Linked DNA regions of Drosophila melanogaster. The protein of the gene in region 3 interacts with the protein of the main gene of each other region in a pairwise test. Each region holds a gene or a part of one and is shown on either strand. Other genes may lie near its edges.

The links.
Region 1: the proteins of row (region 3) and TwdlB interact in a two-hybrid assay, tested with the Drosophila melanogaster proteins (one large-scale study listed by BioGRID).
Region 2: the proteins of row (region 3) and CG17211 interact in a two-hybrid assay, tested with the Drosophila melanogaster proteins (one large-scale study listed by BioGRID).
Region 4: the proteins of row (region 3) and CG6418 interact in a two-hybrid assay, tested with the Drosophila melanogaster proteins (one large-scale study listed by BioGRID).

Annotation. Positions count from the first base shown.
Region 1 is NT_033777.3:26,620,346-26,626,627, reverse strand, and holds TwdlB (TweedleB), read left to right. Parts: upstream 1-3,084; 5' UTR 3,085-3,131; coding exon 3,132-3,146; intron 3,147-3,214; coding exon 3,215-4,060; 3' UTR 4,061-4,177; downstream 4,178-6,282. Other genes in the region: TwdlO (TweedleO), read left to right, coding at 1-620; TwdlL (TweedleL), read left to right, coding at 1,026-1,040, 1,105-1,947; TwdlP (TweedleP), read left to right, coding at 5,304-5,966.
Region 2 is NT_033779.5:12,111,363-12,119,101, reverse strand, and holds the start of CG17211 (uncharacterized protein), read right to left. Parts: upstream 4,743-7,739; 5' UTR 4,452-4,742; intron 1-4,451. Other genes in the region: Phae2 (phaedra 2), read right to left, coding at 7,157-7,739.
Region 3 is NT_033778.4:15,206,388-15,217,132, forward strand, and holds row (relative of woc), read right to left. Parts: upstream 7,248-10,745; 5' UTR 7,103-7,247; coding exon 6,220-7,102; intron 6,169-6,219; coding exon 5,339-6,168; intron 5,281-5,338; coding exon 5,190-5,280; coding exon of another isoform or gene 5,185-5,189; exon of another isoform or gene 4,858-5,184; intron 4,682-4,857; coding exon 3,858-4,681; intron 3,793-3,857; coding exon 3,425-3,792; intron 3,400-3,424; coding exon of another isoform or gene 1,606-3,399; intron 1,413-1,605; coding exon 563-1,412; coding exon of another isoform or gene 503-562; 3' UTR 140-502; downstream 1-139. Other genes in the region: Ir51b (ionotropic receptor 51b), read left to right, coding at 1,606-3,399; CG8093 (uncharacterized protein), read right to left, coding at 7,945-9,048, 9,121-9,213; CG11808 (uncharacterized protein), read left to right, coding at 9,913-10,491, 10,555-10,635; mRpL41 (mitochondrial ribosomal protein L41), read right to left, coding at 10,677-10,745.
Region 4 is NT_037436.4:10,874,486-10,882,271, reverse strand, and holds CG6418 (uncharacterized protein), read left to right. Parts: upstream 1-3,234; 5' UTR 3,235-3,326; coding exon 3,327-5,702; 3' UTR 5,703-5,957; downstream 5,958-7,786. Other genes in the region: CG6409 (uncharacterized protein), read left to right, coding at 254-265, 410-1,480; Blos4 (biogenesis of lysosome-related organelles complex 1, subunit 4), read right to left, coding at 2,539-2,904, 2,959-3,102.

The DNA.
Region 1 (6,282 bases), on a different chromosome or scaffold from region 3:
CCGGAGCCGCCTCCGATAATGTTCCCAGTTACTCCGGAAGCAGTGTTGGCGACTCCTACGATGGTGCTGCCAGCAGCCCGGACTACTCGGTCTCCAGCGAACTGAACAAGGAGTACTACACCTTCGAGGCTGACGAGAGCCAGTTCGAGGATCCTCTGGCCGCCCAGAAGATCGCCGGCTCCGTGAACAAGGGACTCCGCGTGGTCTTCATCAAGGGACCCGAAAACCGTGGCCTGGAGAACGCTGCTCTGGCCCTCGCCAAGCAGGCTGCCGAGCAGAGGACCGCCATCTATGTCTTGAACAAGCAGACCGACATTGGAGATCTGGCCCAGAAATTCAATGCCGCCCGCCAGAACTCCAACCAGCGTCCTGAGGTGCACTTCGTCAAGTACAGGACTCCCGAGGATGCGGCCAATGCCCAGCGTGCCATCCAGTCGCAGTACGATAACCTGGGAGGATCCAGCCAGTCCATCAACGGAGGAGTTGCCAACGCCATCAACTTCGCCTCCGCTGCCCCCGTGGTTCCCGCTCGTCGTGGCCCCAACTACTCCCCACCAGCCGCCGCCACGAGCAACTCCTACCTGCCCGCCAACATCCTGCGTCGCCTGCGCATCCGTTAAGGACCGAACGAAAACCGACAGTTGTTAAATGTGTTGTATAAATGTAATTGAATAAAAAACGAAAATCGATAAAAACAAATACGCTTAGATTTATATATCTATTTTTAATCTAGATCTTCGAAGTTTCTGACTTTGTCATCGGCCATTGCAATTTGTTTGTTTTTTAATAGCTTTTCCTTATAATAACATTTATGCAAAGCTGAATTGCTCTGCGAGCCCGAACAAAAGCCGTTCGCTGCCTACTTTGTAGGCGGACAAAACATTTAGCAGCATCAGCGCTTTGTCTTCGAAAAACTGCGCCGCCAGCTTCGAAGTTGGGTTAGTATATATAGTTACCGCCGCCGTGGTCATAGGCAGAAGCAATTTGTGCTCCGAACCAAGAGAACCTCAAACCCAAAACTAAAGATGCGCGCCTTCATCGTAAGTGGTGTAGCCAGGACTTAAGACGAATTCACAACTAACGGATAACCCTTGAATCCTGTAGGTAATGTGCCTGGTGGCAGTCGCCTGCGCCGATAAGCTCGGCTACAACTACCAGCCCGTGGGACACTCCAGCTCCGGACTGTCCTTTGCTCCTGGAAGTGGCAGCATTGGAGGTGGATCCATTGGAGGTGGTTCGATTGGAGGAGGCTCCATTGGAGGAGGATCCATTGGAGGAGGCCTCATTGGTGGTGGCTCTATCGGAGGCGGTTCCATTGGAGGTGGTTCCCTTGGTGGTTCCATCGGTGGTGGCTCTATTGATTCCGGTCTTGGCGGTCTTGGTGGACTCGGTGGTCTAGGAGGTGGCGACGCTCTGGCCGCTCCAGTCTCCTACAACGCCCCCGCTCCCGCTGCTGAGCTCCAGAAGGAGTTCTTCACCTACTCCGCCAACGAGCAGGACTTCGATGAGCCACAAGAACTGGAGCGTGTTGCTGGATCCGTAAACAAGGGACTGCGCGTTGTCTTCATCAAGGGACCCGAGAACCGTGGTCTGGAGAACGCTGCCCTAGCCCTCGCCAAGCAGGCTGCCCAGCAGGAGACCGCCATCTATGTCCTGAACAAGCAGGCCGATATTGGAGATCTTGCCCAGAAACTGAACGCCATCCGCAACAACAATAACAACAAGCCCGAGGTGCACTTCGTCAAGTACCGCACTCCCGAGGATGCTGCCAACGCCCAGCGCGCCATCCAGTCGCAGTACGACCAATTGGGAGGATCCTCTCAGGCCCACAACGGTGGTGTGGCACCCGCCCTGAACTTCGCCTCCGCTGGTCCCGTCCAGAAGGCTAATGCTCAGATCCCTGAGAACGCTTACCTGCCCACTTCCATCTTCCGTCGTCGTTTGTAAATATTTTAACGACTTCGAGATGAAGGCGTTGACTGTTCTTGTTAAATCTTATTGTTGAAATCTATTGATAAATAATATACAAAAATCTGAATACAAACATTCTATGATATTTTATATTGGATGGTGGTGTAGTAAACAATAGTGTATACCTTCCGATGACAACATGAGTGGAGTTACAAGTTGGGCTTTTAGAAAATTATTTCAGTCTTTGGTGAGATTTTTCGACCTGTTTTTATTGCACAAAAAGTTTGGTAATGACTTTTAATTTGAATTTATTCTTAAAAAGGTGCAACGCTATTAACTTAATACAAAGCAAAAGACCTTTAAAACTCATTAAGAATTTGGTAAGCTATATTACCCAAGGCAGCTTCCCGATGACCTTGACGTTTAATATTTGTCATAACCAAAATATTATCCTACGAAGTACTGGGAAAAGAATAAAATAAAATATTTCCGCATATTTTAAATGTAGGCAAAATGTTTTTACGACAAAAAAGTTAAATTAAATATAAACATATCGTTTTCACCACTCTCAAGTTAAATTTTTTATTTCATTAGTAATATATGCGAAAATAAAGAATCAATGAACTGGGGGCGGCATTTCAAACATCTCATTAGACGACTTGCTAAATTTAGCGCTTGCATCATGTCCATAAATCAGAACTAAACAGATGTGTCGAAAACGATTATAATGACTAAACGATTGTCATTCAGTCGGAAAAACCAAGTGCAGATGTCCTACATAAAACAAGCTTTTAGCCTTGCCGAAGAATTTGTCAAAAAAATGTATTTTATATAATACTCGTACCTAATTATGACCCATCTGCATGTTAAACTCATTCCGACGTGCTCGCGACATATTAATTTTATAATTCAATATGAATTCTTGTAAACTATTGGACGAAACTCGAAATATTTGAATAACCCACGACGGCCAGACTCTGCCCATTGAAACGCAACCAAAAAATTCCACACCGAACATTAAAAAAAACAGAGGAAGCAAAAACCTTTGTAGGCGGCAAAACACAGTGGCTTCAAAGAAATCTCCGTGCAGCAGACGCCGCGGCGGTATCTTTGTCTTTATCAGCCTCCAAGATGGATTTGTATAAATAATAAAGATCGCTCCTAGCCAGAGACACAAGCAACTCATACCTCAAAGCAAAAGAACCAGCAATCTGCTTAAGATGCGCGCATTCATTGTAAGTAGCGCGGTTAAGGATTCAAAGGATTATACGCCAGGATAACACTTCTCTTTTCATGCCTCCAGGTCCTGTGTTTGGTGGCAGTCACCTGCGCCGATAAGCTCGGCTACAACTACCAGCCCGTTGGCCACTCCAGCTCCGGACTGTCCTTCGCTCCTGGCAGCGGCTCTATCAGTGGTGGATCTATTGGAGGAGGCTCCATCGGAGGAGGTTCTATTGGAGGAGGCTCTATTGGAGGAGGCCTCATTGGTGGTGGCTCTATCGGAGGAGGAAGCATCGGAGGTGGATCCCTTGGTGGTTCCATCGGTGGTGGCTCCATCGATTCCGGTCTTGGCGGTCTTGGTGGACTCGGTGGTCTAGGAGGTGGCGACGCTCTGGCCGCTCCAGTCTCCTACAACGCCCCCGCTCCCGCTGCTGAGCTCCAGAAGGAATTCTTCACCTACTCCGCCAACGAGCAGGACTTCGATGAGCCACAAGAACTGGAGCGTGTTGCTGGATCCGTAAACAAGGGACTGCGCGTTGTCTTCATCAAGGGACCCGAGAACCGTGGTCTGGAGAACGCTGCCCTGGCCCTCGCCAAGCAGGCTGCCCAGCAGGAGACCGCCATCTATGTCCTGAACAAGCAGGCTGATATTGGAGATCTTGCCCAGAAACTGAACGCCATCCGCAACAACAACAACAACAAGCCCGAGGTGCACTTCGTCAAGTACCGCACTCCCGAGGATGCTGCCAACGCCCAGCGCGCCATCCAGGGTCAGTACGACCAGCTGGGAGGATCCTCTCAGGCTCATGATGGTGGTGTTGCACCCGCCCTGAACTTCGCCTCCGCTGGACCCGTCCAGAAGGCTAACGCCCAGATCCCCGACAACGCCTACCTGCCCACTTCTGTGTTCCGTCGTCTGCGTTTCTAGGAAGGCTACATCTTGGACTCCATTAACTTAAGCAAATCTCGACTGAAGAACTCATTCTTCCTGTTACACGTTGTTGACTAATGCATAATTACACCAATAAATTTGAAATTTAAATACGAAAATTTAAACAAAGGTCTACCTTATGTGTTTTATAGAGTGAGATTTTTATTGCGGCTTGGCCATAGTAGCTAATGGTGCATTAAGTCCGCCTTGTTTGGCTTGATTGTTTGCGGATGGGTTAAGTATAAAAAGTGCCCTTCAAACTATAAATATCTCGAATTGACGACATCAAGATCAGGAAAGGCAGTTCGGAGCAGGTTTCCTTTATGAGTTTAAGCCCTCGTCGAATCATATTCACCTAGACTTTCCATACAAATCAATGGACTAATTATCTGACATAGCCAACTCGCATGCCGCCAAATTAATTGACTACAAGATTAGATCCACCCACTTGGCCAGCGGGAAGCATTAATACCGGACTCCCGGCCAACGAGGAACTGGTTCTTTCCCGACGACAGCTCAAGGTCGCGAAGATGCCAACAACTGTTAGATGACCTGGTTTCCGAGGCCCGTCGTGTGTCACGTACAATTAGAAAGGAATCTCAAGTGCAACCCACATACGAAGGCAATGAAGATTTATGCCCAATCGAAACCTGATTAGCCATAAAAACAAAGTCTAATCATTAATTTTATTAAGCTGACGATCACTTTTTTGTTGAAATCATTAACAAATAAGCGGTTCTGTATACATATTCAAGCAAATATAACAAAACAATCCGATTGAAACAGCCAAGAGATCGGTTATTTTTCTTTTATTTGTGCATAAATTATAAGCCAATTATGGGTGAATCACGATAGTTCGGAAAACGACTGGACTCGCAATCGGATCTTAGCTCGGACTCGGACTTCGATTCGGAATCTCATCTCAGTCGGCGGCACGATTGAAGCTGTCTTTTGCCCACAACAATGTGTTAAATGTGTTAAGAGCGAAATTATGTTAGCAGATTAACAGCATTCCGAAAACCCGATGGCCAATAGCCACTGGCCATTCGCGAGTCACGATTCGTGAGCGGAGATCGATGATCGCCGTGTTCCGCCAGAGGGACCCCAAAGTGACTAGACGGCTCAATTGACTAGATTTTCTAGTCTAATTTTAAACGTCGTCGCGTTGGCGGTATAAAAGGTAGATAATGAATGCTATATTATTCATTCGTCTAGAATATCTCGTAGGCATCGGGTCAATATGCGTGCCCTCATTATTCTAAGCATTGTGGCAGCGGCAAGTGCCGGTAGCTTGTCCGGATATAATTACGGACAAGGTGCGACAACCAGTATTGGGGGCAGTGGTGTATCCCCAGTCCCTGCACTGGCGGGACCAGTTAGCTATAGTGCCGCTCCCCAGGCGTCAGTTCACAAGGAGTTCTACAGCTTCTATGCCAACGATGACGACTTCGAGGATAAGGCTGCTCTCCAGAGGGCTCTTGCCTCGGTCAAGAAGAACATTCGCGTCATCTTCATCAAGTCGCCGGAGAACCGTGGCTACGAGAATGCCGTTTTGGCCCTGGCTAAACAGGCGGCCCAGCAGCAGACTGCCATATATGTGCTGCACAAACAGACTGATATCAACGAGCTGGCCCAGAAATTCAATGCCGTGCGCCAGAATGCCAACAAGAAGCCCGAGGTGCACTTCGTCAAGTACAGGACACCTGAGGATGCTGCCAATGCCCAGCGGGCAATCCAATCGCAGTACGATCAACTCGGCGGCTCCAGCCAGTCCATCAACGGTGGCGTGGCTAATGCCATCAACTTTGCATCCCAGGGAGCTGCTCCAGCACGCGTTACTCCTCAACAGGTGCCCCAGAGCAACTACCTACCCGCCAACATCCTGAGTCGCCTGCGTCACTAGAAAATCGATTGTTAAACGTTGTTTTCGAATAAAAGTTATCTAATTTGGTTATGTAAATTATTGTATTTTCATTTGGTTAATTCCTTTAAAAATTGACGAAAGCAACATAAGTATGCAACAGTTTTCAAAATAAATTGTATACCTATTTATAGCAGCGATAATCGAATAAAAACAGAAAGAAAGAAGAAAGAAGAAATAAAAATACTTGTTCAAAACCCAAGATCTCAGCAGCCATAAACTGGTATTAAATTTTGAATATGGTTAAAGTATAAACTAGTTCCTAAGAAATATATAAGTGCTTCTACTTATGTGCGCT
Region 2 (7,739 bases), on a different chromosome or scaffold from region 3:
TCAGCGAATCCACAAACGAAACTGCGCCAAGCAATCAACCGAAAGTTCTTAATACCCCCAAGTACCTATTGGCAAATTGATGTCGCCCTGCTTTGGTTCTTTACTATACTAGTTTTTTAGGTACAAAAGGTTCCATTCGAGGTTAAATAATCGGATTCGTGATGCGGCCAGAACGGCGTAATAAAATTGTCAACATGACAGGCCGCGATTAATATAGAGTTCATATTTTTGTAATGCATAAATCATGCAGCAGATGGAACGTGCTCCATTGCCTTGCATTACTTTTCCCACAATTTAAAGATGCGACTCCTTGGGCGAATTCTAAATTCAATTGCTAGAGATGGCACTTATTTGCGGAGTTATAAGTGGTTTCATATCTTTGAAATATATATACCAATTAGTAAAATCGAAATTTGAAAGAAATACCAAGCTTCGTGCTTTAAATTCGTATAGACCACATCTTTAAGATGTGTCCCAGTTTTTGAAGTCATGGCAAGTGCATATATTGTGTGGTTTAGAAAACTCCATAAGTGCCGCGAAACATGATCATAATTCCATCACACGCGCATCTCTGTGGGCCAAAGCCAACGACCGGCCAGAGTTTGTGGCAAACTTGTTCTGACTTTTGTTACAATTGGCGATTCCTTTCTTTTTTTTTTATTCAGCTTTCTAGCGCTGCAAGACAATGCACCATAAAACTGCAATGGAGTTGTGATCGCTGTTGTTTTTTTTTCTTTTTCCTGGCTGCTTCTCACTCCACCCATTTCCATTTCAGTTGCCATGCAAATTTCTGACTCGTGTTGTTTTTCCGTCTCGAATGTTTTCCTCTTTCCGGGCACATTTGTCAAGGTGTCTTGTAAACAAGGAAACCGGGCAGCCCAAGAAAATCCAGAGACTCCAAAAGAATCCAAAAGAACCCCAAAAGAACCCAGAGCCAAGCACCGTTAGATCAGATGCAGACATAGTGCTTATATAACGCATTGCGCCAGCCAATTGTGTTTTTTTTTTTTATTGGTTAACTCTTTAGGCCATAAATGGTAGTGACAAAAGTCGGAATTTATGGCCCGCTGACAGCTCTGATAAATAACCCAAGGCCCGACTTTGGCTTAGAGTGGCCCAGGGTTTGGTTTTTGTATTTTGTACTTCAACTGGCGTTGGAATGGGGCGTGCTGCAGGTGGGGAAAGCACCTAAGAGAGCCATAAAATGTTTTATCTTCGACTCTGTTCTTGCAGCACGTCGCCGTGAGGAGTCCGAAGTTAATTAGCAGGGAATAGATGGCTTTTAAAATTCCTCCTCCTGTGGCAATTAATCTGACAATGCGTTACAAAAAATGTGCCGACAGAAGTCAAGGAAGCACATGGGTTTACGTTTTATTGAAGCATAGAACAAAGGTCATAAAAAGGAAATTTATATCTCCCCATTAAATTGTATTAATATCTATGGGAAAAATGACACCTAAGTGTCCAAATAAAATACATTTATATATAAGCTAGGTACTAAAATGTTTGGTTACATAAACAACAATCTAATAGATTAATTACGAAGCCCATATTTTGCATAATATAAACCTCATATATGGACCAGCAACACCCTTTTATAGGGGTAGGTATATCTAATTTCCATAAGTCTGCTTATTTTCCGTGTATTTCGCTGATGTTATTCGGATAGTGGCGACACAAAAGAAAGAGATTCTCCTCATATGGCCAGGCTAAGTTTGGTTTGGTTTTTGCTTTTTCGCTGCCTTCTTTATACGTGCACTCTTTTTCAGCTGCTTGCCTCACCGTTGCAATATCAGATTACGTGCGGGCCAGCTTTTGTTGTTCTTGGCCGGGTAATGGGGCCTCTCCTTAAGTGCCCAGTGCTATTCGGCATATCAGATGTTGCTAATGTGGCCGCGCTAACTGTGGGCTGGACTACAGCGCTCCACTTGAAAGGAGAGTTTAGATACCAGATACCAGATACAAGATACTTTTTTTTTCGACCTTGAGATGGCGGTCGAAGCTCAGCTCCCGGCCCTGATAATCGAATTTGTGGCACACCACACTTTGGTCAGATTATCGAGATGACCAAAGGGCAGTCAGGAAGTTCTTTTGATACCTTAAAGATATCAAGTGGCTTTGTAAGCTCATTAACTCGACTAGGCTCTACAAATTTCTGGTAAGATTATTATTTTTTACAACTAATTGCGTAAGTGAATAAAATGAATTTATTATTCTACGATTTTTGACAAACATTTTTAAAATTTTCTTCAGTTTCTCAAAGTTGAGACTTACATAGAATATAGGTCATTTATGCACCATATAATTGTCGTGTATTTCGACTTCCAGTTAAAGACATTATTATATAGCCTAATGAAGCTTTCTTCCCGTCTTCGTACCCAAGCTCGTAGATTTCCTTTAGCTCCCTGAGTTCTTTCACTAACATTTTCAATTGCAGGCAATTAGCAAATTCTCTTTTGGCTCGCCTTAATGGCCGTCTAACGTAAAATGTCGTCTTACACACGAGTTTTATAGCTTCCGCTTTGCATTATCAAATATTATTGGTGTTGTTCTACCGCTTCTTATAGCTTCTTCTTTCTACCTTCTTTGCGATTGCATGTCGTCACGTCAAGCTCCAAGAAGTGGCAAGAAGAAGCAGTAGAATCGGCGCAGCAGCTGGATGGAAGAGAAAAAAACCCTTGGCTATCTAATGATGATCATTAGGAGCGGTACTGTAATCACACAGAAGCCAAACACAAACTCAAACTCCCAGCTCAACCTTAAGCCAGTTCTCCTTCTTCTAGCGCAGCTGCTTCTTCTTGCTTCTTTTTGTCAACATAAAACGGTAATTTCTTAAACAAAAAAGTAAGAACAACATCACAGTCAGTATCTGAGTAGCAAAAGATTACTCTGAACATTTATACACAGGAAACAAAGACGAGTATATAATAATGACAAGGTAGATCTTAGAAATCCACATTTTTTCTTACGTAATGTATTTTGAAAGATTTATTTGTATTAAGCCGAAAGATAGATTTATTTTACTAAGTATTACATTTAATAAATAATAATAATATCTTATTTTATATTCCCATTTTAGGATGGACAAACTTTGCCCAAAACTTGTACGACGGTGATTTTTTTCTAAGTTATATTTATCTTTTATTTGTTGACCCTCCTTTTTTGTGCAGTGTAATTAAAGCCAGTGCAACCTACATTCTCTCCCTTGATCTCCACACTCTCGGTCTTCTCCCTTCTGGTTTCCCCGGTTTTCCAATTCCGAGTGCGTTTTTTGCGGCTGTGCGACCATTGTAACGGCTTTGATTTGTCTTAGGAAGTCGCCTAAGTTTTTTTTTTGTCGGCGTTACCTTGGGTTCGTCTTGCCCCAATTGAACCTCCCCGCTTTTCTCACAGTGTGCCCCAGTGATGCGACTTTTTATGTTTGCCTGCCGCTGCTGGCATCTTAACAGTTAAATGCTTAGTTTACATCATTAGCATGCCGTTTCCAGATATTTTCTTTTCTTTTGGCTAATAAATAAGCAATTTGGTGGCTGCTTCTTTTACTGTCATCGACTATTTCTTTAATTGGTCTGCGCAAGCTGGTAAGCATTATTTAATTAGCATAGATTTGCTGGGAATCGGAATAACTTGATTAACATTATACAGTTGGGAATTTCATTTCTAATTCAATTAAATAAATACACCATTTACTTTTTATTACCAGAAAGTTCGTTGCCTCAGTCTTTCGTTTGTATTGAATAAAATATGAATTTTCATGTTCTCTTTACGCTTTGATAAATACGCAAAGAAGTGCAGAAATCTTTGATAATATTATTAGAGTCTTCCAAGAAACGAATTAAAATGTATATGTTGTTTTACCGCACTCATTACACCTAGATCAACACACAGGAATCGTTGCCTGTGGAGTCAGTTCGTTGCCTGAGTCTTTCGATTGTGTGTGATTTTGCTTTTGTCTCTGCGGCCGCAAGAACGAGTGCACTGAAGCATGGTCTTTTGGCTCCGGCTGTAGGTTTTTGTGTGTGTCTACTAGTATTTATTTATCTGGCCACCAAGTCGGTGGGTTCTATTAACCATGTAAACAATACCGTTAACACGACACGACGCGGAAAATGCTTTTGGCAGCGGGAGCGAAACAGATAAATGAAATGTGCCGCAAGAATTTGCCAAGTTGGTGGCGGCAAAGAGGGACGTGCCAACTGCATATACCACACCCCCCCCCCCTACGGTAATGCATCACAGAATTGAACAACAAGAACAGCTACGTAGAAAAAAAAAGCGTGAAAAAGAGGCGACAGGAAAAACGGTTTGAGGAAAACACTTATTAAATTTTAGCATGCCCAAAGTGTGGAAAGAGCTGGCGGCGAGGCCACAAAGAACCGCAACAACGACCCCAAGAACGAACCAAGAATTCCCAATGATGCATTCCTGGAGTTTTCCGCAAGTTCACATACCTGTCCAGTCTGAGGTTTTCCTATATCCACTCTAACTGTGGGGCACAAAAACAAAAAAGCATTGAATATAACTCCACAGCTTAGTTTATTATTGATTTGTTTGTTTGCTTATGCTTGCACTTCACCACTGCCACTCAAGGGTTCGATCATCGTTGACCACAAGAAGTGTCTTCTAGTCTTTGAGTCTTCGAAGAAGAGTCATTTATTGTGTTTTTTTTTTATTATTATTTTTATATCCACCTTGCGCGTATGGTTTTCTCGTTCTGAACGCGTCGCGTGCTGTTTTCAAACTGAGGCTCAGCAACAAGTTCGAGTTGCTTTTAAGAAAAGCATTCGGAAGAAAGTTGTCTGCATACTGAATTCTTTTTCTGTTCGAGCGCGCCAAAGATTCTCGTTCGAAAGCTGCAGCGAAAGAGATATATTCTCTCGAGAGAAAGAGAGCATCTGCTAAGAGAGTCTTCTCCATTCCACCGAAGGGAGATTAATTGCTGGTTGTACTGCCGATAAGCATGAAATGTCGCTTGTCCGCAGTTTGTTGGCCAATTAAAAATTAGATTTCGCTTTAGATTTTGTCCATAAGATTGGCCAAAGTTCGCGGAACGATTGCAAAGATAAAAGTTCGGACGGGCTATTTTTTTGAAAAATAAAAACCTTCAATAGTTTATTTAAAGAGTTGAATGAACTAGAAAGTGACAAGCTGCCTTCATTGACACCACACATAATTGTCCGTGACATGTGATTAAAATAATGGTGTAACTTTTGCGGGGCTTTACTTTCAACTTCATGTACACAAAATTATACCTAGCATAATGCAAATATGAATATTATTTGTTAAGACAAGAATTTATTTGTTCACACATATTTTGTATATTTTACACTATTTACTATTTTTTCAAACACATTAGTCACTTTATTTGAATCAACAATGCAATCTATACCTCTTATTTATGGCCCAATCATATCTAACTCATTTCAATAATCCGTTCTTCCCTTTACCAATTATAAAACCATTCGCAGTCTTTCCGACCGCAGAATCCCGACATGAAAAAATATAATAATATATACTTGCGTGTGTATATACACAAAAGACCATAAAGCACAGACATTCATTCCGATGCCAAATGCCGACGCCAATAAAGCCCCCAAGTAAATAATTCCAGGCATTACTCCATTACTCATAATGGCGCAGCCAAATGTCGCGGTCGCATCCTCATCCTCATCCTCGTCGGCGGAGGAACGCAGCAAACGATTGAGGGAGCAGGGATCTGGAGACTGGCGACGGAGGAGCAGCCGCCCATGTTGTTCGCCAGGTTGCATAAATCTGTTCGATTCATAACACAAAGATTGCGAAGGAAGCACAGTGATCTGGCCTTGCCTCAACTTTGCTCAGATGAATTTCTTTTGTTCAGAACGGAGATGACATCGTGAATGCAACATAAGTTTGTATTCACTTTTATAAACTAAAAACTCTTTTTAAACTTATACTAAACAAATTTTTTGAGTTTTAAAACTTGTTCTTCATAATATGCTGCAAATGATCGCAATTGATTACTCTCTATAAGAAATGCAACTTCCACTTTTTCGAAATTCGGGTGGACTCACTGCGGCATCTCTGGTTCCCGCATGGTGACTCCTTTATCAGCCTTGTCTTCATCGATCGCGTCGGAGATTTTGTCCGTCTGATGGAGGCGGGGGTCCGTCGGTGGGTCTGTTCTGGTGGACTCCCCTGTCCATTCCCGTTGAGTCGTCGCTTTGTCTTGACTCCTTGGCCAGGCAGCTTGACTGGGACTTGGAGGCGTGTTTGGTTGGGGGAATGGAAACAGAATAATATAGAATGAAATATTTATCGCCATTAGAGCCTGATTAGCTGCGGGCGTGTTCTGGCCATCGTTCTTTGGGCCACGTTCCGCGCTCTTGGCCGCCTTGCTTGCGAAGCTCTTTTGGAGGCACTTAATAAGCTTTGCTGGTGTGATTGTGATGGGAAATTGATATGTCCATTCAATTATGTACTGGTCGTGTCAATAAACTGATTGCGATCGTGTCCAGCAACTTACCGAGCAATTAGTTTCCCAATAAGAACATTCCGATCAATATGATTGATAAAAACAGCGATTGAAGAGGAGTGTCTGGGATGAAATGAAATCTGGACGTGCTGACACCAAAAGTGAGACGGATTCAAAAGCAAAACTCATTCCAAGTGCTAAGTTCCCTGGGGAGTATAGTGCTCAGAATAGTTGTGCAATAGAAAAATGGAAAGTTAATCCGGATATTTCTTGGTAAAGATAACATCTTGTTGACATTACCCTTTTTTGGTTTATATTCAGTTTTTTATAACAAAAGAAAAGATAAAGCTTATTTTTATATCTTTATTTTTGCTACTTCTTGGAAAGCTTTATCTAGTTAAAATTGGGTTCACATATAAGTTGGATATCTAAAACATTTATAGTCTTATCTGATTTACTTTGTTATAAAATATATATATACATTGGTTACCATCTTCTTAAACTAGCTCTATTTATTTATTAGATAAGATAATTCGACATATAACAAAATGTATATAAATGCTTTTAAGTTCTTTCAAAGATACATTACAATCAATTAATGCATGATTTTAAAGACTCTAAAAGTTGTCATTTATAATAAGCACGTGATACTGCAATCTCATAAGTATTTCTTTATTCAGATACTATCTTATACTCCAGAATTCATTTCTTTTGGTTGGCTGCTATCCATGTTATGAACGAGGAGACCTGGACATACACCGACGGAGAGTTGGGCTGACCACATGGAAGTTTTCCCCAAGACACGATGCCGATTAGAACGTTTCCCTGGACCAGCGGACCACCGGAGTCCGAGGTGCAAAAGCTGGTGCCGCCGGTGAGAGGACCTGTGCACAGGTTCGTGGTGTGCACATCCTGACCCTTAGAGCCAAGTGCCGCAGCGCAGGAGTCGAGGCTTATGATGGGTATGTTCTTCGCCTCCTGGAGGGTTTTCGGATATGAGGGGCTATTCGTTTTGCTAGTACTGCCCCAGCCAAAGAGGTCAGCCTTTCCAGTTGGCCTCACGCCGGACGATGGCAGCTTCACCGGAGCCACTGCAGCGGTCCAAGTGAAGGCGGTGGGCGTGTAAATCAATCCGATGTCATAGGGCACAGTTCCGCCGGTATAAAGATCATTGATCACATAGTGGGTGATTTGCCTCTTCTGTGTTGTGCTCGCTGTTCCGGCCACCGCAATGCTTCCAGCCACCAGGGTGCTTCCAAGTACTTGATTCCTATTGGCCAGGCAG
Region 3 (10,745 bases):
TCAATAAAATATTTTGTGCCCTCCCACTTTACCATAATTTGAATTCATGCCAATTAAACGAAATTGCGTAGACCACATGTGTGCGTGGTATTCAAGAATTCACAAACTTTTCAATACAAAACAAATAAAAGTCGTAATTAAGGATATGAAGGTATATTTTAAACTTACAAATTGTTTGTCATTTACAATTTAAATTGTTTGTCATTTACAATTAATAAGGTTCCAATATTCAAATGAATTGAAAGATATTTTAGATGTAAAGATAAAGATCCCATTGCAGAGGATTGATTACGCCTTTCAAAACGGATCTTTTGAAAATCCCAACTCACATCCAGCATTCAAATCCCTTGTGCAACTGAGATTTCATTTATGATGTTTCATTAATTTTAAAAGGGGCCAATATACAATTCATAAATAGGTGCTATACAATTTATTTGCCTTCGTATTGGTGATACGGAATTCGGGATATGGCCAATGTGCGATGAATATGAATGAACTTTAACTAATAGTTCTGCCAGTGAAGGGTATAGTCGCGTGATTTGAGCTTTCCGTGGGGCTTGTATCATTGCGGATGGTGATGGTGCTGGGCGTGATAGTGCTGCTGCTCGGCGGCAGCGACTGCATCGAACATGGGCGTGTGCACCTCGCCCAGGAACTGGGGCGTGGGTGGAGCATTTGGCTCAGAGAGCTCTCCAATCAGTGGCATGTCGATATCCGTGGCTAAAGAGCTTTGGCCGTAGTTGCTTAGTCCGTAGGGCTGTTGCTGTTGGTGCTGTTGCACCACCGAAACTTGAGCATAATCCGGGGTGGGTTGTACCTGCTGCTGGGTATCCAGCAAAACTGGGGCCGCCTCCATTTCTCCAAATTGTATTGGACCGGTCTGCTGCACCGGCATGCTCTGATGTACTGGCATATTCTGCACGGGCTCATGCTCAACTGGCGCCGACAAGTATTCCTGTTGAAGTTCCGCTTGCGGTTCATTCGGCTGTCCCTGCATCTGTTGCTGATGTCCCACCTGTTGATGGTGTTGCTGCAAATGATGGTCCTCCTGCGGCGGCAACATGTCGGAGCTCTGATCCGCGACATCATCAGCAGTCTCGCTAATATCTGCACCTTCACCAGAGGTTTCTCCATCGCGTCGAACCAGGCCCAACATGTCCAGCATATTACGCTTGACGGCATTCTCACTGGCAGCCTCCAAACTTGGGTAGCAGGTGCTAAGTCCACAATTTGCCAAGTGCTGAGCCATCTTGTTGCCGTTGCCGGTGGCAAAGCCGCAGATGCAGTGCATCTCCTGTGGCATATTCACTTCCATGGCGTCCACAAAGTTTCCATTACATTCCACGCCATGACGGAATTGCGCTCGCTCGCAACATGTCTGATAATTGCACTTAACGCAGTGTAGCCAACCACTGGGAAAAGATTTAATATAAAAAAGTGATTAAATGAGTGCGTAGAGCGCCAAAACCTTTTATTACAAATTATTGCCTCACACATTCTAATGAGTTTTCCCCAAGAGATCAATCAGCCACTATTAAATCAATTAGCTGCTGACTTATAAACCTCAACCCGCGGTTCTGGCTTGTCACAATTGAATCAACCACCATGTGCAAAGTGTTAACCTTATTGGTCGTTATTTTATTACTGGCGCTAACAAACGCTGCTTACAATGTGACATTGTTGAAATCCGTTCTAAGTCTCATCTCTACACGGGAGCCGTGGATAAATACACCAATATTCGTCGGACATAATACGCAAGGAGGCGACCTCAACGACTTGATTATTTGGCTCCATCAAACAATGGGAGTTACTAGCTTGACAATGAATTTATTTCTCCAACCTGAACATATAAGACCCCTTGGTCATTTTAAAATCACTAGATACAATGGCATAGCTTTGTTCTTTTGTCATGATAAACATGATATCATGTGGCTTACTCTGGATAGAAATCTACGAAAACTCCGTCGCATTCGATTGATCATCATTCTGCGTAATCAAAGAAGTGGCTCGCAAGGTGCTATTAAATCAATATTCAACGCCTTATGGCAATATCAATTCCTCAACGTTCTTGTCCTGCAAAGGGATCAGCTTTATTCCTACACTCCGTATCCGGCGATGCGTTTTTTCAAACTCGATATTCATACGGAACCGCTATTTCCACATGCAGCAAGGAATTTCCATGGATATGTAGTATCCACTCCGGCGGAAAATGATATTCCGAGAGTGTTTCATGTGCACGATCCATTAACGAAGAGCAGAAAGGTGCTGGGATACGCATATCGCACATTCGTGGAATATTTGGATCACTATAATGCCTCGCTGCGTTTGACCAATCCAGATGAGAATCTAGACCCAACAACTAGTGTGAATATGAACCACATTGTGCAGTTGATTATAGACGGTCAATTGGAAATCTCTTTGCACCCGTACGTTTTCACACCCCCAACAGCAACCAAGAGTTACCCCTTACTAATATATCCAAACTGCTTGATTGTGCCCATGAGAAATGAGATTCCAAGGCACATGTACCTATTGCGACCATTCCAATTGTACAGCTGGTATATTCTGTTATTCGCAGTTTTCTACATCACTGGAATTCTCTATTGCATAAGCCCGAAACTCAATAAAAGTTCTTGGCCGCAACGCTTGGGATTGAATTTTCTAGATGCGATAAGCAAGATACTTTTTATCAGCCCCCCTATAACAATTTACAGACCAACATGGCGCCATTTGATTATTTTCCTACAACTTTCAGTCCTGGGATTCATGTCCACAAGTTGGTACAACATTGAGTTGGACAGCTTCTTCACAACCATAGTAGTGGGCGAGCAAGTAAATAGCATGGATCAGCTTGTCCACCAGCAGCAAAGGGTGCTCGTCAAGGAGTATGAAATTAACACATTTCTGCGCCATGTTGAACCTCGATTAGTGGAAAAAGTATCTCGGCTTTTGGTGCCTGTAAATGCCAGTGAACAGGTGTCCGCTTTGCTGAGTTTTAATCGCAGCTTCGCGTACCCTTTTACAGAAGAACGTTGGCAGTTTTTTGCCATGCAACAGCAATATGCCTTTAAGCCGATTTTTCGCTTTTCATCTGCTTGCTTGGGATCTCCACATATTGGCTATCCAATGCGCGTTGACAGCCACTTGGAGACATCCCTTAACCATTTCATATTGAAGATTCAGGATACTGGACTGCTGAATCACTGGGTAGTTTCCGACTTTAACGATGCCATGCGTGCTGGATACGTTAGGTTTGTAGATAACGTCCTGGGCTATCAAAGTATCGATGTGGATACTTTGAGACTGGGCTGGTGTGTCTTGGGAATTGGTTGGATACTGTCAGCTCTGGTTTTCTCTTGTGAATACTGGCACCTTTATCCATGGCGATTTATTGCTTAGGTAAATAAAATATTTTTGAACTTACGTGTAATGTGTCTCCTCGCTGGCGAAATCGGTGTTGCACTCGGCACAGGTCTTACCCTCCAGAAAAGCAAAGAATACTGGCCGCTTGTAGGTGGAGAACGGCGGCTGCTCGCGGTGATGGGTGCGAATCTTTGGCGGTGGTATCAACATCGAGTTGTTGAGTAAGAGACGCACCGGTCTATTGGTCTTAGTCATGCTCACATGATGCTGCACTGCGTGCTGCTTTAGATCCCCCTTCTCGAGGAAGGATAGCGAGCATTTCTGGCAGCGCAGCGAGGGATCACGCTTGTTGATGTGCTCGTCCAAATGCATGAAGTAATGTTCTATGCGCAGCTGGTTAACGACGCCAAGCTTTGAGAAGTAGAAAATCTAAAAAGAATCAGTTTTTAATAGAGAGAACTTTACAAGATTACTTTACCATGACAGCTACTTACATCCAAGCAATAGGGGCACTGTAAAAAGTTTTGATGCTTGTGGTCGTCATAAAAATGCCTGACCAAATCGCGGTGCGAAGATGATCGATAGCCGCAGGAGTGACACCAATATGGTAGTTCCAGGGTGCTGTGGACCTTCTGCAAATGAGCCGTCAACAGATGCAGGGAATTGTGACGCTGCTGGCATATTAGGCAGTAGTACGAGGGTGAACCCTCCGTTTTTGTCTCAGTTGGATGCATGATCTGGTTGTGTTTGGCCAAAACCGACTCGGTGGGATGCTTCTCCAAGCAAAAAAGGCACTGGAACTGGTGCTGCTTACCCTCTGGCGAAATATGCGATACTAAATGCGTTTGGAGTTTCTCATTGGAATCGAAGGAGTCGCCGTTCAGGCAGATTGGACACTCCACGGTCTTGGCCAGTTCGTTGTGAACCGTACGGGGTGTGCTATATGGAAAGATCTCGTGGTACTCGTCCGTACCATCACTTATTCCATAGTACAGCTCCTCCAAGCCCCTTAGATCATCCTCTTCTTTCTTAATGACCATTGGAATCTTTTCATCTTTTTCTTTCGGTTTTTTACCAAGGCCTTTAGCTATCAGAGATTTAGACAGTGATTTAGATGACGAGGTCGTTGCTCTGTCTCCTTTTGTCTGGTTGGTACTGCCCGGCGGCCGACCTGGACCCTTTTTAATTGGCAATTGAGGTGGTGGGGTGCCTAATGCATTCGGTGGACGGCCGCGCTTGACTCCAGATGATGCTATATCACGATCCTTTTCCTTCTTGGGAATCTTGTTAGAAACAACGTAGTCAGCATCGTTGATAGCTGCAATTGAAGATGTTAACTTAAAAAGATGTAATCTCAACATACAAACTTAAACATTACATATTTGTCCATTTTTGTTGAATCTGGTGGAATGGGTCCAATCAATTTAATTAGTAAATTCTTTCTTGCGTTTTATCACTCCAAATGAAAAAGGAAATCAAATAAAAACAGTTATTAAATTTCTTGCAAGTTTATTTATGGTTTCTCTAATGGGGTTGTTTTAAAATAATTAGACACGAGAAATGTCAGGAAGTAATGCTTAAATTGTACATATGTGAATATATCAATGATACATTTCACCTATATAGATTATATAAATTCACAATTCACATAACACAATAAGTGGACCTGAGCTCAGCTGTTGGGTTCGATTAACCAAAACTAATCAAACAAAACGAAAACATTTCAGTTTGGAGTGAGAAACGCAGGCACTTAACAGATTATCATAACGCACTATTCTATTCACGGCCTAAATAAAAACTTGCTACAAAAGTACGATAGTACTAACGTTTCTTGAGGCGCTTGGGAGCAGCATTGGCAGGTGTCTCCTTGTAGTTGGCCGGCAAAATACTCCAGTCCTTGAACGGATTGGTTGCCACCTAAACGAAAGAGCTATTAAAGGCTAATCGCTAATAAAAATTTTTCGATTCTGCTTACCTGATACAGACGCTGAGTGATTGTCTCATTGGTGGTTACTCTTGTCTGCTCGGCAATGTGTATTATGATATTGTTGAATGCCTGCAAGGCATATGTACCAAAGGACTCTCGCCATACCAACTCGTCGAGGAATTGTTGAATCATCTGGCGAGATAGCAACGATAGGGTGTTCTGGAACATGCGCGGCACAATCCGTCGCAAATATTCCATTACCGCTGAGTTGTTGTGCTTGGCTGTGTTGTCAGTGGCAGCTGCTTGGACAATATTTTTGAATCCCATGCTGAAGAGGGTGATCTTGTCGACAGTCAAGTCTATACAAATGGTGCTGTCCTTGTGCACCCAGCGCGACAGTGGCTCAAGAATGGCCTGGAATCGCTTTTTGTAGTTACGATCACCATCGGTGATTGGCTCTACAGCCCGCAGTCGGATGGACTTCTCCGCATAATCATAGACGCCCAGAACCTCAACTTTCACTTGTCGCTGGGAGCCATCTTGGGATGTGGTTCCTAGGGAAATAACACCCACCTCCACAAACTTGCCGGGACCGCCCAGCTTCTTGCATTTTTGATGCACTGCCAAAGTGCAAATGGCTCTAAGCCAGGTGTAGATTCCTTTGATATAAACACTGTCCACCTTAACCCACTGCACCACATTTTGAATACTGGTCTGGCAAGCCCAGTGGTAAATTAACTTCAACAGGAATGTGGGTGGGTGCTGAGCTCCTTCGAAAATGGAATTGTTGAACACGGAGACGAAGCGGTAGGGGCAACATTCGCTGATCCACACATAGCCACCAGTGTAGGGAAACTTGGTCACATCCGAATAAATTCCTAAATATAAATACATTAATAAACGAATTCAGTTGATCATATATCTCTTACCCAATTTGAGCTCGTTGTTGCGATGGTTTATGCAATGCTGTTGAGCGCGTAGCAATCCCTCCTGGAGCAGCCACTCGCAGAATTTATTGGGCGTAAGCATGAGCACCAGCTTAACCTTCGAGTCCAGCTTGCTGCGGGTGGCAGCCATGTCTTTGATCTTGAGAAAAGGCTTTGCTAGCACCACCAGAGATGGATATGTCTTTCCTTGCATCTTGTTATCCTTGCCATCCTTGCCGTCTTTGCTATCCTTGCTTTCGTCGGTGCTGCCCACCACCAGACCGCCCACCGAATTAACCTCGGCGGGGCGGTAGTTCTTCGGCGGCGATTCGATGTCCGGTTTGGATTCCTTAAATAGTTTTCCACTGCTCTTAGGTACCGGTGAAGAAGATCCTCCACTAGCAGCGGATGCAGCCTTCTTACTGGATTTCGGGGTGAACGAGGAAGATGCATTGGCCACGGCCACTGCTTTTTTGCCTGCAGACAGCGCCAGTCGCTTGGCCAGCGGCATATCGTCGTCTCCCTCATCGGAGGACTCCAGGTAGGCGATGTTGGATGGTTGTCGTGGTGGGCGGCCACGACCCCGCCCTGTGCCACCGCTTTGGGCGGCGGGTGTTGAGGGAGAGTCCGTCGGCTTGGGTGGTTTTTTGGGCAGCGTAGCCTCCTTGAGCTCCTGCAGCACTTTGCCCTTAAAGGAGTAGGCCTGGAACACCTGGCCGTTAAACAGCTCCTTGCCCTCGTTGGCGCTAACCGCGTTCTTTAGTGCACCCTTCACCGCGTTGTGCTCGTTAGTAATCTTCTCGTAGTACGCCAATTGTGCCGGCGACAGCTCCTCCACCCAGAACTCCATGTCCAGGGAGATTTCACTTCTCGTTACGCGCGTCATCTTACAGCTAACTAGTTAACCGACCACTGGCCCAGCGAGGGCGTTGTTTTTAAAAATATTAAGAGCTAAGTAAATTTTTTTTCGCTCGAATTAGCTTTCCTTGCGTGGATGTACCTGCTCGAGTAAATAACATCGATGAAAACATCGATAATATCGGCTTGGGTATTGTCGTGACACACGCACAGTGGTGCACCACACATCGGTTCGTTAAAATATAAACAAATATAAATCAAATTTTTGTATTTAAAAAAAAGTGTTAACGTAAACTGGTCAATTTTATATTCTGCTAATAAGAACAAGAATAAAATTTTTTTACAATTAAGGAATATCATAACAAGAATTGATTTAACGTATAAATAAATGCCATGAATATATTTTCCCACCTAAATATACATTACAGATATTTTTTACTATGATCAGTATGTTGCGGACTATCGACTACCACAAAAAACGCTGAAAGTCTATCGATGATTTTACAAGATGCTTCATCCCTGAAAGTTGGCGCGCAATTCAAACTAAGAGTGCAAAATATTTCTCAACAGTACACAATCAGCAAATAAAATAAAAATATCTAGTACAGCTTATATTTTATTATATTACACTTAATATAATCCATTGTATTTAGCAGGTGCACTTATAAGGCAAAAAATGTTAGCAGGCTAGTTCGTTTTGCGTTGTTCAGTCACCGTGAAGTGTCACCAAATCAATTTGAATTTATGACCACTCGTATATTATCGGTTCATTAGCTACCAAAAGCCCCCGTTGAAGTGGTGACCAATGGAACTTTTTTTATCACAATGTCACAAAAACGTATGTCGCTTTTTTTTATTTCCAGCGCACATTTATGCATTATTTATGTCGTTAATTACCCGATCATAAAGAATTTCTTTAATATTCAGTCCCCACAGAAAGTCGATATGATTCCACTTTTCTTCCGGCATGCGATATGCGCTTTTCAGGGCGCTCGGGTTCATGGTATACCTAAGGCGATCCACGTCAATCAGACTAGCAAAGTAGTCGTTGTCAGAGTAATAGAGATAGGTGGGCACATCGATGCCCTCCACATCGTACTCCGGCGGGGTCTTGCTGCTGTACTCCTTCTTGTTGCGCGTAGATCCGTAGTCGAATTGCCGGAAGTATCCGGAATTGTACTCCTGCAGGTAGTGGAAGATCTGATTTACTGAGCATCCCGCCGGAGTGGTGGCCATAATATCTGGGAGCAGGGTCTCGTTGATATATGGCGAGTTCCAGCCGCCCAGCAGGAATAGGGTGTTGGTGCACATGAACTGTGAAATGGCCTCATCGCTGCAGAGGAGAGCCCCGAACAGGTTCATTAGCTGTGTATTTGGCAAAAATTCGGCGCTGCCGAAGAGCTCGACGAAGGCATTGGGCTGACCAAGCAGTGGTCCACCGACCGTGGCCAAAGGACTCTCCATATGCTCCATCCAGGCCACAGGAGCGAGCAAATGAGCAGATCGAATGCGACTCTTGAAGCGCGGAATCATAGAGTTGAGCACAAAAAAGGATGTGGTTCCTTGAGAGTGACCCACATACGTAAGTTGAGTCACATTTGTCCAGTAAAGGACGTAATCCATCATAGCGGGCAGATCATAGATTCCGATATCGTGCCACTCAAAATTCCAGAAGGGCTGCAGCAGCGGCGACTTGCTGGCGTGTCTTTTGGAGTAGGTGTTGCCTCTGGCATTACCCATCCACACATCGTAGCCCGCTTCGGACAGCAGGTATGCCAGCCCACTGTGAGGTCCAGCAAGAACCCAATCCGAGGAGGAACACAACAGACCGTGCATAAGGAAGACAACAGGGCGTGGCCCATCGTACCCAGTGTTCTTCGAGTACGGTATGCGGTGCATTGTGAGGATGTAACCATCCGAGGTCTGCACCTCGTGCTCCTCGATTTCGTAACCGTGTCCCCTAACAATGGTGACCTGGAAAGTAGAGCAATATAGTGGTTAGTAAGGACTTTTGGGTGCCAAAGAACATGGCATCCTAAAACTTACAGTTGTCACCGAACTGGCGCGCCCCGTATCCGCAGGCAGGGCATTAGCCAAGCCCAGACTTAAAAAAACCGCAATTAGCTGAACCACCAACATTTTGTATTCCACAGGTGCAGGTGCTTTGACCGCTGACTTGGCCGCCCGTGCCTTTTATATGCCCCCCAGGAACTTGATAAGGATTCCTAGATTTGGCTGCCTAATTTATGACTGTTTATTTTTGCCTGCAAAATGGTTTGATTCGCCAAGACTGATAGATCGTGTGGGAATTTCGATCCCAGTTGATTTAACGAATGGCTAGTGGTCATCAGCGATAAGGTCTCCTATAATCTTGATAACTGCTGATTAGGTATAATTGCTAAGAGTTAATCAGCAATTAGTATTTCCTGCTTTGGGCGTACGGCAAACTGGACATTAAAAGACCCCACATCAGTCTGTAAACTGACATGCTAAGCCGGTAAGGACAAAACTCAATAAATGTAGTATATTAAATGAATATGTTAAAAAGAATTAATTGATTTAATATTACACATAGTTCTAAGTTAAATATTTTAAAGTGATTACTATAATTAAAATTCGCGCCTATTAGTTTAAATTAAAATCGGTCGATAAGTCCAAAAATCGATAGGCGGTAAACATGTTGACACAATCAGTGTGGCCAGCTGGAATATTCGTAAAAATGTTGCGTTTTCTTGACAGGCGATTTTGTATTTTGGGAATGAGCGACGTCCGGCACACAAGAAATATAACATAAATAAAAAACTAAATAAATAATTAACTGCCGATAAAGGACACATTATGAGGGATCGCGACCGCCGTGACAGAGATCGCGACAGAGAGAGGGATAGAGATCGGGACCGAGAAAGAGACAGAGAGCGAGACCGCGACAGACGACACAGATCAAAGTCGCCCAGCAGGAGCAGCCGGCAGGTTTCAAAACCGAAGAAGAAAAAGGCCAAGAAGTCGAAAAAGTACTCGAGAAGGAGTCGCAGTAGCAGTCGCAGCACCTCGCGCAGCTCCTCCAGCAGCAGGAGTAGTTCCCGCAGCACGCACAGCAAAAGCAGAACCAGGGATCATCACAAATCGCGGTCTATTTCGCAGAGGAAAACCAGGGGTCCAAGTTCGGAAAGCAATTCCCGATCCGCAACCACACCCGCAGCTGCTCCCGTGAAGGCCATCGATCTGTTCGACACCAAGGTGCAAAAGGCACTCGAGACTATAGACGAGGACACCTTCAAGCCGGAGTCATTTTTTAGCTCCAGGGATTCAAAGGAGACATCCGATAAGGTGATCATAGATCTGAACAATGAAACGGTCACAGTCGCCAGCAAGCCAGCCACTGCAGTCCGAAACGAAGATGTAATATTCCATCCGAACGTGAGTGGGTTACCTGGTGCTCGAATATACATGCTAATAGTATCTGATTTTCAATTCCGACAGTTCCTGGGCGACCCGGATATGAAGGCCGAGAAGTGGCTGCGCAAGCTGTACAATTACCGCCAAAAGTACATGCAGGAGTAGTCGAGTTTAGACTCTGTATTTAAGAAACAATAAACCTATGTCTAGAATATATCGCTGCCCGTCTTTCGAGCGCGTTGCAAGGCCTCCTCCGGAGTCAGTTGCTCATTGAC
Region 4 (7,786 bases), on a different chromosome or scaffold from region 3:
CGCACTTGACGCCGATTTCCTCGGGTTATAATTAGCCAGACTTATCAATATCAACGTAGAAAAGCAGATTTACATTGTGAACGGGTTTCCGCGCACTTGGCGTGCATCTATTCGCAATTAGCACCGAATTACAAACTGGTTAACAGCCGCTGCCAACGGAGTGGAGAAGCCTGCGGTCGCCCATTTGGGTTTATAAAATGGGTCGCCACTTGGCTGAGATCAGCAGTTTGGGTCACATCTCCAAGCGGTCAGCATGAAGTCGGTTGTAAGTCAAGATCTCAGTTCTCTTGAAGATTATCCCTGAGTTTTCCATACAAGCTATTGTAATCGGTTAATTAATGAGGGCTATAAATTTTATCTTTTGAATATAAAATACGTTTTAATCTATTTGTGTTGCACATTTTCTTAGATTATTCTCTTAGCCCTGGTGGCTTTCTGCCACGCAGCACCTCTGGATGTCAAGGAGTCTACCTCTGAGGAGCTCTCTAGGCCCAGTCCCATCAGCCCCGATGTGCTCGTTGATCCCAAGCCCACCGCCAAGGTAGTCTTGCTGAAGGATGCTCCCGTCCTGAATCGCCAGAGGCGTAATGAACCCAAGAAGCCCGACAGCGTGGAGGCCCACGAACAGCTGCATCACTCGCAGCCGGCCGTTCCTATTCATGACCAGAAGCCTTCTCCGGCTGGGCCACAGGACCACAAGCGCAAGAGGGAAGCTCACCACGAGGAGGGTCACCATGGTGACGATGCAGTGCCCCAGAAGGAGGAAGTGAAGCAAGCTCCCGAGGACCATGACGCCAAGAAGGAAAAGAGAGAGGCTCACCATGAGGAGGGTCACCAAGACCATGAGGCTCCTCATAAGGAGGAAGTGAAGCAGGCCCCCGAAGCTCATGATGCCAAAAGGGAAAAGCGAGAGGCTCACCACGAGGAAGGCCACCATGGTGATGATGCAGCTCCACATAAGGAGGAAGTGAAGCAGGCTCCCGAAACACATGAGGACAAGAAGGAAAAGAGGGAAGCTCACCACGAGGAGGGCCACAAGGATGAGGCAGGTGATCGTCCTCAGGTGGAGGATCTTTCGCTGCCCCATGCCCTGCCCGCTGTGGCCCACACCGCCGAGCTGCCCAAGAAGCAGGAAAAGCGCGAGACTGTGGAGAAACCCGACAGCGTGAAGGCCCGTGAGTCGCTCCAGCACAATCCCCAGCGATCCCAGGAGCTCCACAAGGCCATCGAATCTCTGGCCGGTGGAAAGGCGCCGGAACAGCGTCACCAGCGCGATATTCCCGTGCCCACGCAAACCAAAGCCACCACCACCACCGATCTCCCATCCACCACCAAATCGGAGCTGGAAAGCACCACTCCGTCCATCCACAATCTCCACATCCCCCATCCCATTCCCGTGGCCGAGCTCTTCGAGAAGAACAAGCACGCGGATAAGTCCACTTCCAGTTCCGAGGAAAGCAAGGAGAAAGCTAAGGCCTAGGCTTCCTATGTTAAGAGTCGCTAATGGGACCATCACGAGATTTGTAGTCAGCGAAACGAACTAAAATAAACACAAATATTTACATGCTTATATAAAAAGACTGGGCGTTAATTATTTAATAAATATTTATGTGGATGGCTGTCTGTAAAAAGGCAGTTAATATAATAGGCAAAGTAAAAAGTGGTATCTACTGCATTTCAGGCATTAATTATGGGTAAAACTTCCAAGAATTAATTCAATTGTAATATAATTTAATATTACTTCAAGGGAAATATATGAAGCTTTAAATGTACTTCATATTTGTTAATAATACTTCTACACACGTTGGTAATAATAAATTTAAGAACCTTGTACCGATTTTAAACGCCTTCAAGCGCACTAAATTTTATGCGTTAAAGTAGCTTCCTGGTAACAAATTTAATTTGTGTTCTAGACAAAGGCGTACACAGAGAATTGTTATTATAGTAAAGCTGTATTGCAGTTTTTTTTAGAATTTTTCCACGTTATAGGCAGCAATTTAAATGCGAGACTCCACGGATTTCCCCGTATAAATTCGAGCAATTTAACTTCGCGCTTCCCGTAAAAAAAAACATTGAATATTTACGTAAGCACCTCTTCGCTAATTATTCACTAAATATTTATGGCATCCACGTAGCTAACTGCTATTTTATTCACTACTCTAATGTAAGTAATCAGTAATATAAATATAAACAGCCAGACTTAATGTAACAATAAACAACGTATTGTTTGCCTCGGTTTTTTCCATTCTATCTGTAATTTTTCGCTATAATTATAATGACAATTATAACAAGTAGGTGCTTAAATGTAATTACGAAGCTGAATTTAGATGTCTTTGTCTTAATTTGATAGTTATTGCATATTCAAAATGCATTAGAAATGCCTAATTTAAAAACAAAATGCAAATGAAGTTGCTTTTAGAAAGTTAATAAAATTACCTTTATGTTTTTACATCTGCAAAGATCCTCTAACTTCTAGTAACATCTCTATTTTAAGCTTAGTAAAACTAGGTTTCATCTAATTATTCCATATATGTTTAGTCATTTAGCTACGTAGTTCTCCTCCTCCGACTTTCCGAAGTAATCGTCGGATTTGTAGATCTCCACAGGCTGATATTCCTCCTCGACGAGATTGGATCGTGGCAGGGAGCTGAGTGTGCTGGTATCGCTGGCACTTAACTTGGCCTTCAGCGGCTTCAGGAGAAGTCCCTTGAGGCTGTAGTCTGTGACATGCAGCTCCTCCTCGGCTATATCCACAGATCTTTCCACTTCCGACAAATTGGCACTAACTACACCCACACATTGCTCCAGACCATCGATTCTGGCCTTCAGTTGCTCGAAACTGTCTGTGAAACCTAGTATAGAGCAGACGTTGTTGGCCATCATGCCATTGGATTCCGCACGCACCTAAAAGTCAATAAACTATTAGTGAAAACACTAACTTTAAAGAAAACAACTAACCGAAGCCAACAAAGTCTCAAATTCATCCAATCTGGCCAGCATATCCTCGATATTCGTGCACAGTGGATTTATCTCCTTCTCCAGGTCGGCGCTCTGCAGTATCTTTGCATAGTCCCGTGATACATTCTCAATATTCGATTGCATATTTCAGGCGTTGGTTTAATTAGCTGAATATTTGTAAATACAAGCAACAATTGTTTTCACTTTCGACCAGTGTGACCATAATTGAGGAGGGTAAAACTCCTATCAGCTAAAGTGTGACCCCAAAGCATTTGCCCGCTGTCCCGCTGCTGCTCATTCTGGTCATACTGTTTTCTATTGATTTTGGAAATTGTTAGCTTGCAGCATTTGCTTGGATTTGTAGCACAATGAGTGGATATCGAGGCATTGGCGGTGGGGGCTTCCCCTACCGCAAGCCAGCAAGTTCCGGCAACAACATGAACGCCGTACCGCCGCCCCCGATGCTGAATGCCCGTGGCTATTCTGGTTCCCGCGGAGGATTTGGAGGAGCAAGCCGTGGCGGTGTCACCGGGAGCACTACATCAACGTCCAAGCACGGCTACTCCACCTTGGACTCCATCAGCCAGTACACCAATGCCACCAATCTGGTTGGCAAAAGGAAGCACCACACGGACGATGACTATTTCGATGATGACGATGAGCCCCGGGAAAAGGAGATAGAACAAGCCTATATACCGGCACCAGGATCCCCGGGAGCTCCGCCAACGTCGGCCAAAAAGCAAGAGGATTCCGATTCGGATGAGGATCCCCTCGAGCAGTTCATGGCGGGCATCAACCAGCAGGTGGAGAAGGAGAAGCGTCAACAAGCACCTAAGCCGCCAACTCAGGCGGTGAGAGGTGACATCGATGACGAGGACGATGAGGAGAGCTACTATCGCTACATGAAGGAGAATCCCAATGCTGGACTTCGCGACGAGGGATCCGATCAGGAAATCGAATACGATGAGGATGGCAATCCCATAGCCCCACCGAAGAAAAAGGACATTGATCCTCTGCCGCCCATCTACCATTCCGAAATCGAGTACGAACCCTTCGAGAAGAACTTCTACACGCAGCATGACGACATAGCCGCCCTGGATGATGAGCAAGTCCGGGAATTAAGGCGCACACTTGGCGTAAAGGTCACTGGTCCATCACCACCCAAACCAGTCACGTCCTTCGGCCATTTCGGCTTTGATGAGCAACTCATCAAGGCCGTGAGGAAAGCGGAGTATACACAGCCCACACCCATCCAGGCACAAGCAGTGCCCACCGCCCTGTCCGGCAGAGACATCATTGGCATAGCCAAAACTGGTTCCGGTAAGACAGCAGCTTTCATCTGGCCGATGCTAATGCATGTGATGGATCAGAAACAGCTGAAGCCAGGCGACGGACCCATAGGACTTATCCTAGCACCTACACGCGAGCTTTCCCTGCAGATCTACAACGAGGCCAAGAAGTTTGGCAAGGTCTACAACCTGAACGTGGTCTGCTGCTACGGCGGAGGCTCCAAATGGGAGCAAAGTAAAGCTCTGGAACAGGGAGCGGAAATTATTGTGGCCACGCCAGGACGTATGATAGATATGGTCAAGATGAAGGCCACCAATCTGAGGAGGGTCACTTTCCTAGTGCTTGACGAGGCCGACCGTATGTTCCACATGGGCTTTGAGCCCCAGGTTCGCTCCATCTGCAACCACGTGCGTCCAGATCGTCAATGCCTAATGTTTTCGGCCACCTTTAAGAAGCGAATTGAACGTCTGGCCAGAGATGTGCTTTCCGATCCCGTGAGAATAGTGCAGGGAGACCTGAACGAGGCCAATCAGGACATTACACAGTCTGTGTACGTCTTCCCCAATCCCCTGCAGAAATGGAATTGGCTGCTGTGCCATCTGGTGAAGTTCCTTTCCGAAGGAAGTGTCCTGATCTTTGTGACTAAAAAAGTAGATGCTGAAACGGTGTCTAACAATCTTTTAATTAAGGAGTACAATTGTCTTTTACTCCACGGCGATATGGACCAAGCGGACAGAAACAAGGTCATCACTCAGTTTAAGAGAAAAGAGTGCGATATTCTAGTGGCCACCGACGTGGCAGCCAGAGGATTGGATATACCCCATATTAGGAATGTGGTAAACTACGACACAGCCAGGGACATTGAAACCCACACGCACAGAATTGGAAGAACGGGCAGAGCCGGTGAAAAGGGTAATGCATACACTCTAGTCACCGATAAGGACAAGGAGTTCGCCGGACATCTGGTGCGTAACTTGGAGGGAGCCGATCAGCTGGTGCCCGACGATCTGATGGAGCTGGCCATGAAGAGTTCCTGGTTCCGCAGCTCACGCTTCAAGCAGGGCAAAGGCAAGAGACCAACAAATACCCACACAGGATTGGGCTATCGGGAGAAAGGAAATGGAGGTGGTGGCTATGGTTCGGCTGGTGGCTCGGAGTCCACTGCGAGTGTGTCTGCCCACAGTCCTTCCGACGGACCCTCTAGCAAAGCCTTTTCGAGCTCGGGACCAGCCACAGATCGCTATACAGCAATGAGGGAGGCATTCCGATCCCAGTATAACAATCAGTTCCGTGCGTCCAGCGATCGCACTTGGGAGAAAACTCTGCCGGAGTCGGGAGTTTTCGCTGCGCCAATGGCACCGCCCTCATCATCAACACAGGGTGCTTCCGCCTCATCGGCCAACAACAGCAGCAACCAGGATGCCAAAAGAGCCAAGAAGAGTCGCTGGAATTGAACGACGAGCCCAATAAACTGATGCTGCTATTTGGTTTATTTCTCTTCATATTATTTAATGTGTATTTGCTTTTGTTCCATCGTTTAAAATTACAACTTATGAACTAAATTTAAACATATTATATATAATCAGATATATACCATGTTCATTCATAAAGATTACGTTAGTTAAATACTCGTATGTACAACTCTCTTCCTTCGCAGCCAGTTCCAGCGAACGATCCCACAGATCCAAATAAAAATATTCATTAATTGTAATCATGGTTATGTGTATTTTATTTTGAATAAAATCACATTTGCGCATCCCAACTGCCTATCGATATTGTTAATCGTTAATCGTGTCATTTTAATTTTAATTTTTCCATTTCATTAAGCGAGAGAAGAAATCGAACTGGAATATCGAAATCTTGAAGCTAAATTGTTCGTTTAATCATTATGAAATATTGTTTTACAATGAAACCACTACGAATTTTGTTTCTTTTTCGCTTTTGGATATACGTGTTTATATTATAATTAAATTACGTGTGTTTTTGATAACATTGAGAAGAGATTTGAGATTCATTTAACTACCACATCGAGGCGATTTCGCGTAAATTTTCGACTTTTTCGATTTATTCGATTTTTTTTTCGATTTGTTTCGTTTTGTTAAGCGCTGAACGGGGAATAAGCCGGGGCAAAGCTTAAAAATTTCGCTATATTTGAATATCATATCAGATACGTACATGAATATATATATATATTCCGTTATATATAGTTCGCGTATATACTCTATTCAAAGACTCGTCGGTGTGTGGGTGTTATACATATATATATGTATATATATATATATTTGTATATAAAAATTGGTCCATGTTAACCACATCGTACGAAACAAATCGGAAAATCAGGAGAAAATCCAAAAAGAAAACGGGGGAAAATTGTGTGGGAAAATAAGACGCAAACGAAAATTATAACACTTTAATTTTAGTTTTGAAATACTTTTTGTTTTCTTCATTTATTATTATCATTATTTAAATGTATTAATTAGCTTTTGTGTGTTTTTTTTTGGGGGGAGGGGTTCTGTTTTTTGTTGTTGCCGCATATATAACATACATATCCAATATATACAATATATTTTAGATCTAGCATTAAATTTGATTTACACTTTTAATAGTTTGTTTCTCTCTTCCACTAATTATGCAGTTTCGCTTTGTCACTTAATTGTACACATTTACTTTCTGTTCGTTATAGTTAATATTATCTTAATATTTCCTCAGCTGGTCTGTTAAATTTCGTTTATCGTTTACCAAGCTAAATCATTTACTTTTAATATGTAGATAGGCTTTAAAAAATAATTAAAATTATGCAACAATTAAAATGTAAATGTTTTCATTTTATAAATGTAATAAAATTGTTGGGATTTCACTTGTATGTATTTTGTGTTTCTCGATTTTCGTTTTTGTTTTGTTTTTCTTTGCTCATGTTTTGTTGTTGCGCTGATTTAATAGATTGTTTTTTTTTTTTTTAATACTTTGTAAATGAACAAGAAACATTTTGCAACAAAAGTCTGGGATAAGGCAAAACAAAAAATGTAATTTTCAAATAAACGAACAAAGGACTTTCTGCTGCATTTTAAATTCGTAAATTTCATTGAAGGAATTTTCATGCTCTCAACTGAATTGGTTTCTTTTTTTTTTAATTTTTTATATGGTATAATGACTGTTTGTTAATTTTTACGCTTTAGTGTGCATTTTTTTTGTAGTTTTCATGGGTTTTTCTCAGTTAGCTTTAAATTAAATGCCAATTAATTTAATTAATTAATTTTTAAATCACATTTCATTGTTTTTCAACACGGGCAAATTCAAATTTCCGCTTCGATTTCTCATCCAGTGTGTTGTTTGTAATAGTTTATCCATTTTGTTTTTTGTTTTTGTTTTTTTTTTTTGTGTATTTTTACTTGTTGCTGCTGTTGGTTTGTGTGAGGAAACGAAAATGTTGGTTGAAGTACGCGACTGGCGTCTAGTGCACATTTCATTAAAATTAATAATACTATATACAATTTATGGTATTCTGCCACTTCAATTCTCCAACTCTCTCCCAGCTTCG